2 linked regions of the Sus scrofa genome follow. The protein of the gene in region 1 purifies or fractionates together with the protein of each later gene. This does not show direct contact. Links are inferred from orthologs where the notes say so. Each region holds a gene or a part of one and is shown on either strand. Other genes may lie near its edges. The genes, in order: SGSH and SUMF1.

Region 1 (3,821 bases):
AATCTCCCCCTACCTGGCTGATCTGAGACCAGAAACCAACAGCCTGCGCAGAGGAGGTCTCTGCCGCTTCCCTCACTGCTCTCCTTGAAGCCCACCTGCCCAGACCCTACGTGCTTCTCTCCCTTCATCGTCTCTGGCCGTTGGAATAATGATTGGCCGAAATAATAAGTGATTGCTTAATGAGAAATCTCACACTAATTAGTCTCAAGGTTTCTCCTCCCGGGATAATTTGTTTCTTTTTATCCCTCCCCCCCCCCGCCAGGAAATGTACTGGGTAGAAGTGCAGAGAAAAGCAGGGTCCACGGGGACACCCACGTCTCGCTGGCCAGGAGTGGGTGGGGGGACTGAGGCCCTGAGGGCTCGGAGGATTTCCAAGTGCGCACCACAGCAGGCTCCGCCCACTACGGCAGACTGCGGCGCTGGAGTGGGGGGGCTCCCATCCTGAGGCTGCGCATCACCCCAACCCCCACCTGTGGCGTTCGCATCTTTACAGAAGCCCTAGGTGTTCTAGTTGGTTCTAAAAGAACGCCAGAGACTCCCTCAGAAATTCCGAGGGCGCATTCTCTTGGTCTGGGCGCCCCCGGCCCGCAGAGCCCGTCACAAACCACCCCCTTCCCCTGGCCCCCGGGGGGCTTCTCTGGACACAACCTGACCCTCACCCCTGAAACCGCCTGCCCGTGATACTGGGGTCCAAGGGCTGGGACCGCACGCTGGCCGACGGTCCGTTGCCCGCCGGCCCCAGTAAGGTGGTGGGTGGCAGGGACTTGGCTGGGGACCTGGTGGGTGGGGAGCGGGGTCCCGGCCGGAGGCACTCGCACCCTGGGACCCCGCGCCGCGCCACCGTCGGCAGCCCACCGGCGACCCCGGCCCGTCCCCGGCCAGCTCACCCACTCCGCGTTGGGCCTTGCCGCCGTTCGCGGCGCACTCACCGGACCGACGCCACAGCTCAGGGTCCCCCGTCGCTGCCGCAGCGGGTCTGCAGAAACCCGAGCGGGCTGGGGGAGTGGGGGCGGGCCCTGGGCGGAGCCTGGTGCACGTGACCGGGGTGGGCGGGGACAGGGCCGGAGCTGGTGGTCACGTGACCACGGGGCGGGGCCCGACTGGAGCTACAGCCATGGGCCGTCGGGAGCCGGTGGGTTGGGTGCTGCTCCTGGCACTGGGACTCTGCTGTGCGCAAGGGGGGCGCCGCCGGAACGTGCTGCTGATCCTCGGTGAGTGCGTCCCCGCCGACCTCCGTGGCCACCGCCCTCCACGGACGCCGGTTGTCGCCCCCCAAAGCGGCCACTCGCCCCTCCCTACCCGCGGACAGTGCTAAAGCTTCGTGCCCTGCAGCCCCCGTTGCAGTTCATTCTCGGTCTTCCTTCTTTGCTGCCCCGACTCCTTGTAGTCAACTCTTTGGAGAGGTGGGCCGTGGGGGCCTGCCCCCTGCGGGGTCTGGAGGGGTCGGCCCCAGCATTCACACCCCACTGCTGTCCCCGGTTCTGACCCAGTGACCAGAACAGCCAGGGCTAACCCTGCGGTCCCCGCCCACATCAGGAGACTGGGCGGCTTTCCAGAACTTGGGAGTCCACAGATGGCAGAGGGAATGCCAAAAGAGGAGCTAGTGCCTCAAGTCCCTGGGGTTCTCATCTTCTCCCTAGCAGTGATAGCCCCCTAAGTTTGCCCTTCCCTTCTTCAGACCCCAGAGCACTGTGGCTCAGTTCTCCCCCTGCCTGAAGGGAGCAGCCTCCACCACCCTGAAACCCCAAGTTCCTCTAGCACCGTGCTCTTCATGCGACTTCCTGCTTGGATGACCCTGCCCAGCTGTCACAAGGCAACCTGATTCTTTCCTCTTTTGAGGTCTGGCTCTTTGCCAGGGTCACTCTCTCTGATTAACTTTGTGGTCTCGGGCAGGCCTTTCAGCTAACTGTAACTTAGCACTCCACTGAGGGCTCCCTTCAACTCCCCCACCCCTCTGGAGCACTGGCGTAGACTCTGCACATGGATCCACATCCTGGTGTGTGTATGCAGAGCCCAGGACTGACTACTCATGCCTGCCTGCTAGCATGCCCACCTGAGCATCAGGCCCTCAATAGCGCACATGCCTGCCTGGATCTCATGCGATTTATGCCTGCCCGCTAATGTGCTCACCCAGTTTTCATTATGTGCCTATTGGCATTCTCACTCCGGTATCATTCCTGCTGAATATCAGGCCCACTTGGGTTATGCCCCCCTGGGCATCACTCCTGCCTGATATCATGCTGGCTCAGGCATCACTGACCCAGCGGCAGGAGCAGGTCTCCCTCACTCCCACAGAAGGCTGCTCCTTCTGAGCCTAGCCCTCCTTCTGAGCCTGAGCCTAGCCTAGTGCTCTCTTTCGCCCACCTTCCTCAGCGGACGATGGAGGCTTTGAGAGTGGCGCCTACAACAACAGCGCCATCACCACCCCTCACCTGGACGCCTTGGCCCGCCGCAGCATCGTCTTCCGCAATGCCTTCACCTCCGTCAGCAGCTGCTCGCCCAGCCGTGCCAGCCTCCTCACTGGCCTGCCCCAGGTGAGGGTAGCAGGGGGCAGGAGGAGGGCATGGGAGAGGGAGGGCTGCCAAAGCCTGTGCCCACAGGGAACCCCTCTCTGGTCTCCCTAGGGATGTGCCCACCTTCCCTCCCCTACCCCCAGCCTAATGGTTGAAGTGCAGGCTGGGAATGGACTACCCACCTGTGCGTCCTGCTCCACTACTCTGCGTGACCTTGACCAAATCATTTACCTCTGTGTGCCTTATTTTCTTCACCTGTAAAATGGGGTTGGAATAATACCTCACTCATGGAATGATTTTGGGATGGGTCAAGCTGATACCCTATACTTAGAGCACACAGCAAGGGGCTTGGCAGGTACTTGTCCAGCCCAGTGTTGAGTCTCGTCATGATATGGTCCAAGGAGCTTGTGCGCCCATGAAAGCTGGGGGGGTAGGCTGGGGTGCGGGGGCACCCTGGCTGTCAGATGGCGCCCTGCATCACGGCATCTCTGCTGGCAGCATCAGAACGGAATGTATGGCCTGCACCAGGACGTCCACCACTTCAACTCCTTTGACCGGGTGCAGAGCCTGCCGCTGCTGCTGGGCCGAGCTGGTGTTCGCACAGGTGAGGGGCTTCGCGCAGCTTCCCTCCCTGCTCCAGAGGGGCGTGGCCTTGTCCTGAGCCACTCTGGACAGCGTCACCTGCTCTGAGCACTTAACCCCAAGAGACCCGGGCCTCTTGGACACATGAGAACAAGGGCCTGGCTGTCCTTGTGGAGGCTTGGAGTGGGAGAGGGATACAGAGGTGGGTAGGGGACCAAAGGGGCTCTGGACAGATCTGTCTCCCCGGCTCCAGGCATCATTGGGAAGAAGCACGTGGGACCAGAGGCCGTGTACCCGTTTGACTTCGCGCACACGGAGGAGAATGACTCCATCCTCCAGGTGGGGCGGAACATCACGCGGATGAAACTGCTGGTCCGGAAGTTCCTGCAGACTCAGGACGACAGGTGCGAGGAGGGCCCTGCCTCTTACTGCCCGCACACAGCCAGACCTCTTAGCAGTTAATACAAGATGAAAATCCCAGAGTCTCTGGTTGGCTTCTTGGAGTCCCCAGACAGCGGGGGTGTGGATGGGGGAGAAGGTTCCAGACACTCAAGTTGATCTGGTTATCAGAAGAGGGGACGTAGGGAACCTGAGGCAGTGTAGATCACAGGGAGGCTCTCAGTTATGGGGAAGTAGGCAAAGCTGAGGGGTGGTTCTTCCTAAAGGACGGGGTTCCCCAGGGCAGAAGCCAGGTGGTGGCTCGATGGCTGACCTGGACCCCAGTGC
Region 2 (3,815 bases), on another chromosome or scaffold:
CAGAATTCTGAAGCCTTGCGTACCCCCTTCCAAACATGCAGATGCTTTGATCTGAGGGGGAAAAAAATTCTATTTCTGCTTCTGACAGCAAATGCCAAGTCACATCTTGCCCGTAGAGAATGGCATCTCCCAGCCACAAACCCACCGAGAATTTCACAACCTTATTCTCCTTTTGGGGAGATGGGTTGTCTCTGACCACTGCTTCCATCAACCCTGCCAGGAAGTACAAGGAAAATGAGGGGGAAATGACCATTTCTGAAGAACTCAGCTTTTTCAACTGCCCCCAAGAAAGTAGATTTCTCTCTCTAGATTATTTATGATGAACCCACATGTTATTCTGTGAAGAAAAATCAAGTACATCAAACAAATTTATCCCCACATTCTGAAAAAGGGCCCAAGACAATTTCTTCAATTACTCTGAGCTGCTTAACCCTCCACCAAGAAGAGACTGAAGAATTAATTTTCTTTATCATTATCTTTTGTGCCTTTTCAAAGGGTTACAGTTTAAAATTAAGCGTATTAGGAATTCCTGTCATGGCACAGCAGAAACGAATTGGATCAGGAACCATGGTTGCAGGTTCAATTCCTGGCCTCACTCAGTGGGTTAAGGATCCAGCACTGCTGTGAGCTGTGGTGTAGGTTGCAGATGCAGCTTGGATCTGGCGTTGCTGTGGCTCTCACGTAGGCTGGCAGCAACAGCTCTAATTAGACCCCTAGCCTGGGATCCTCCATATGCCATGGGTATGGCCCTAAAAAGATAGATAGATAGATAGATAGATAGATAGATAGATAGATAGATAGATAATAAATAAATAAATAAATAAATAAATAAATAAATAAATAAATAAATAAATAAAATAAAATAAAATAAAATAAAATAAAATAAAGCATATTAAGTTCCCAGTCCAGCTAGTTTGGGTATAAATACACATTCCTAAATCTGACTTATGAATGACTAGTTTGCTAGTGATAGGATTTTTAAATGGTATTTCCCCCACAATCTGTTCATACAACAAGAAATATTCACAGACACATTCTTTTTAAAGGATGTACTTAACACCCACATGCCCATGCCGTGTCTCAATTTTTGTATATTCTGCTGGCAGCGCTTGGTTTTTAGAGGCAAAGTAGTACACTAGCTGCATTCAACATTCCTCCCATACCAGAACAGGTAAAACTTAGGCAAACGTGGTTGTCTAAATTCCCAAGGTTTATGATGCACTGAACTGACACACTGTGGAGTTCAGGAAATAATCACGGAATGACTCAACTTCCTGACTCAACATTCACCCAGAAAAAAAATCCTTTCTCATTTTCCCCAAACAATGCTCCTCAAGCAAAATTTCAACCAATGAAAACTCAGGCAAGCAGCTGTATAATAAATACCATTTATCAGATCACACTAGTTATTAATAAACATTAATGAGTTTTGCATAGTTATTTCTTTATCTCACTTCGACCACATTTATGAGGTTGAATATAATTTCTAAAGTTATAGGAAAAGTCCCTCAAACCATTATCACCATCATAATCCAGCAGCTTGCAAAATGCCCATAGACATTTCTACTCAATGCTTTAAGGTTGAAATAATGCTTAATATCCCTTTGGGGACATTTCAAGATTAATTTCATTAGTACATAAATACCCTGCAGAAACACATGAAACTCCTGCCACAGACTGTCCAGGGAATAGATGCAGCTTTTTCATGATACATACTCTGAGACTGATACTTACTGGGTTAATTCTTTCTTCAGCAGCATGGTGAATGGTCCACCAGTCTGAGGTCCATTCCCAGGCGTTCCCTACTATATTGTAAAGGCCATAACCATTGGGAGGAAAGGCATCAACCTAAAAATAAAAAAGGGGGGGACATGCTGTCAAACTACTCACCTTGTCTTTCTAGAAAATCTCTTCAGTGCAGAAATGTACAAAGAGCTGTGCCTTCAAAGAATATTAATTCTCATTCCAACAGTGAAAATAACAATCTGGCCAATGTAAAAACAAAGAAAAGCCCTGAGCTCTCAGGGGGTCAAGGGGAGTTTAGAAACCTAAGGAGAGTTAATATTCCATGGTCAGAAAGTCAGTGAAATTATTCCTGATAGACTATTATTGATGATAAGTCAAATCTGTATCTGACTGGGCAGTGAGGGAGGGGAGGTCATGATCTTTAGACCTTCAAAAGCATAACAGAAACATCATTTTAGAGGTGGTATAAGTTTTGTCATCATAGCTGAGCTCTGTTGGCCACACAATGTCTTTGAGCACGGAGAGACCCCCAAGCCAATTCTGTCCTCTCCACCAGCCCCCACCAACTCACCAGCTTATCTTTAAGCCTCAGTCTTCATCATTAAAACACTGCGGGGACTTGTTTGTATAAAGAAAACGTGAATTTGTTATCAACCATAACTATAATACACAAAGGATTTGCAATCTTTGGGACCTGAAGTATGAGGCAAGTAACACGGACTCTTCAGAAAGCAATTATATCACGTTTCAAGGCAGACCAGACAGCCTGCCACAGAATATTGTCAAAGACTCGGTACCAAAGCATGAAGCTTGTGTAAAAAGAAGGGTGGGATAGAGGTCAGGAAAAAAAAAATCTTTGACTGAAAAGTAAATATGTACAGAACACATTTACTTTTAAAGCCTCAAAATTTTTTCCAACAGTTTTTAGTAGAAATTCTCAAACCTGGGAGTTCCTGTCATGGCACAGTGGTTAACGAATCCGACTAAGGAACCATGAGGTTACGGGTTCCATCCCTGGCCTTGCTCAGTGGGTTAAGGATCCAGCATTGCCGTGAGCTGTGGTGTAGGTCACAGACACGGCTCGGATCCCACGTTGCTGTGGCTCTGGCGTAGGCTGGTGGCTACAGCTCCGATTAGACCCCTAGCCTGGGAACTTCCATATGCCGCGGAAGCAGCCCTAGAAAAGGCAAAACAACCAAAAAAAAAAAAAAAAAATTAAGAAATTAAAAAAAAAGAAATTTTCAAATCTGAAGAAAATCTTTACAAATTTTTTTTAAATGAAAAAAATATCAAGTTATCTTCAAGGTTCTTTTTTAAAAAATCTTCCTGCAAAGTCAAGTTTTTTCCCAATGAATGAGGTCAGACAGAAAGGAATAAAATTCATTTCTATTTGGCTTCAGAAGATTTCAGATCTATGCATACATATGGAAACATCTGATACTTGGGCAATTCAGAGCACTTCAATCAAAGTTGTGAAGCTATGCAGAAAAAGAACTTAATCCAGATGAAGGAGAAAGCTGAAATTGTTCATCACTCTGCTTCCTTATTAAGCATACATCATGGAAACAGGGTGCCTATTCATTGCTTCATTCAGTAATTCCATGCATGTCAACTGAAGGCAGGAAGGGTTTGATGCCTTAAGATGTAAAAGAGCTTTAATGAGAGAGAGAGGAAGATGGCACCAAAAATAAAAAATCCAGGCCTGAAAGGCAGGGTGGGATGAGTAGGATAAGAGGATGAAAGAAAATGCACAGAAACTTCCTGGAGGGAGAGAGATCAGGCTGAAGGTGAGCTGTCCTCTACAAAGGTAGAGGCGTCTTGCTGAAATCAAGGTCAGAGTTCAAAGGTCAGAGAGGGAGTAAAGGAGGAGAGGCCAGAGGCATAAACTATTCTTTCAAGAATTTGGAGATGATCATAAAGAGTAAGATGGAATAATAGCTAGAAGGAAGAAGAAAGAAAAGAAGAAATTAATGTTTCAGGGAAAGAAGGGAAGGAGCAGGGGGGCATGAGAGCAATTGAAAGATGAAATGAACTTTCTGGAGGAAGGCATTAATTCTCAGGCTTAGAGA

Evidence for each region.
Region 2: the proteins of SGSH (region 1) and SUMF1 purify together in Homo sapiens (co-immunoprecipitation; 3 studies listed by BioGRID and IntAct, with this or other methods). This does not show direct contact. The link is inferred for Sus scrofa from reciprocal best matches to the Homo sapiens genes SGSH and SUMF1.

Annotation. Positions count from the first base shown.
Region 1 is NC_010454.4:2,240,808-2,244,628, forward strand, and holds the start of SGSH (N-sulphoglucosamine sulphohydrolase), read left to right. Parts: upstream 1-1,016; 5' UTR 1,017-1,114; coding exon 1,115-1,211; intron 1,212-2,373; coding exon 2,374-2,534; intron 2,535-3,011; coding exon 3,012-3,117; intron 3,118-3,348; coding exon 3,349-3,499; intron 3,500-3,821. UniProt on the Homo sapiens protein: Catalyzes a step in lysosomal heparan sulfate degradation.
Region 2 is NC_010455.5:60,985,108-60,988,922, forward strand, and holds part of SUMF1 (sulfatase-modifying factor 1), read right to left. Parts: intron 1,849-3,815; coding exon 1,735-1,848; intron 1-1,734.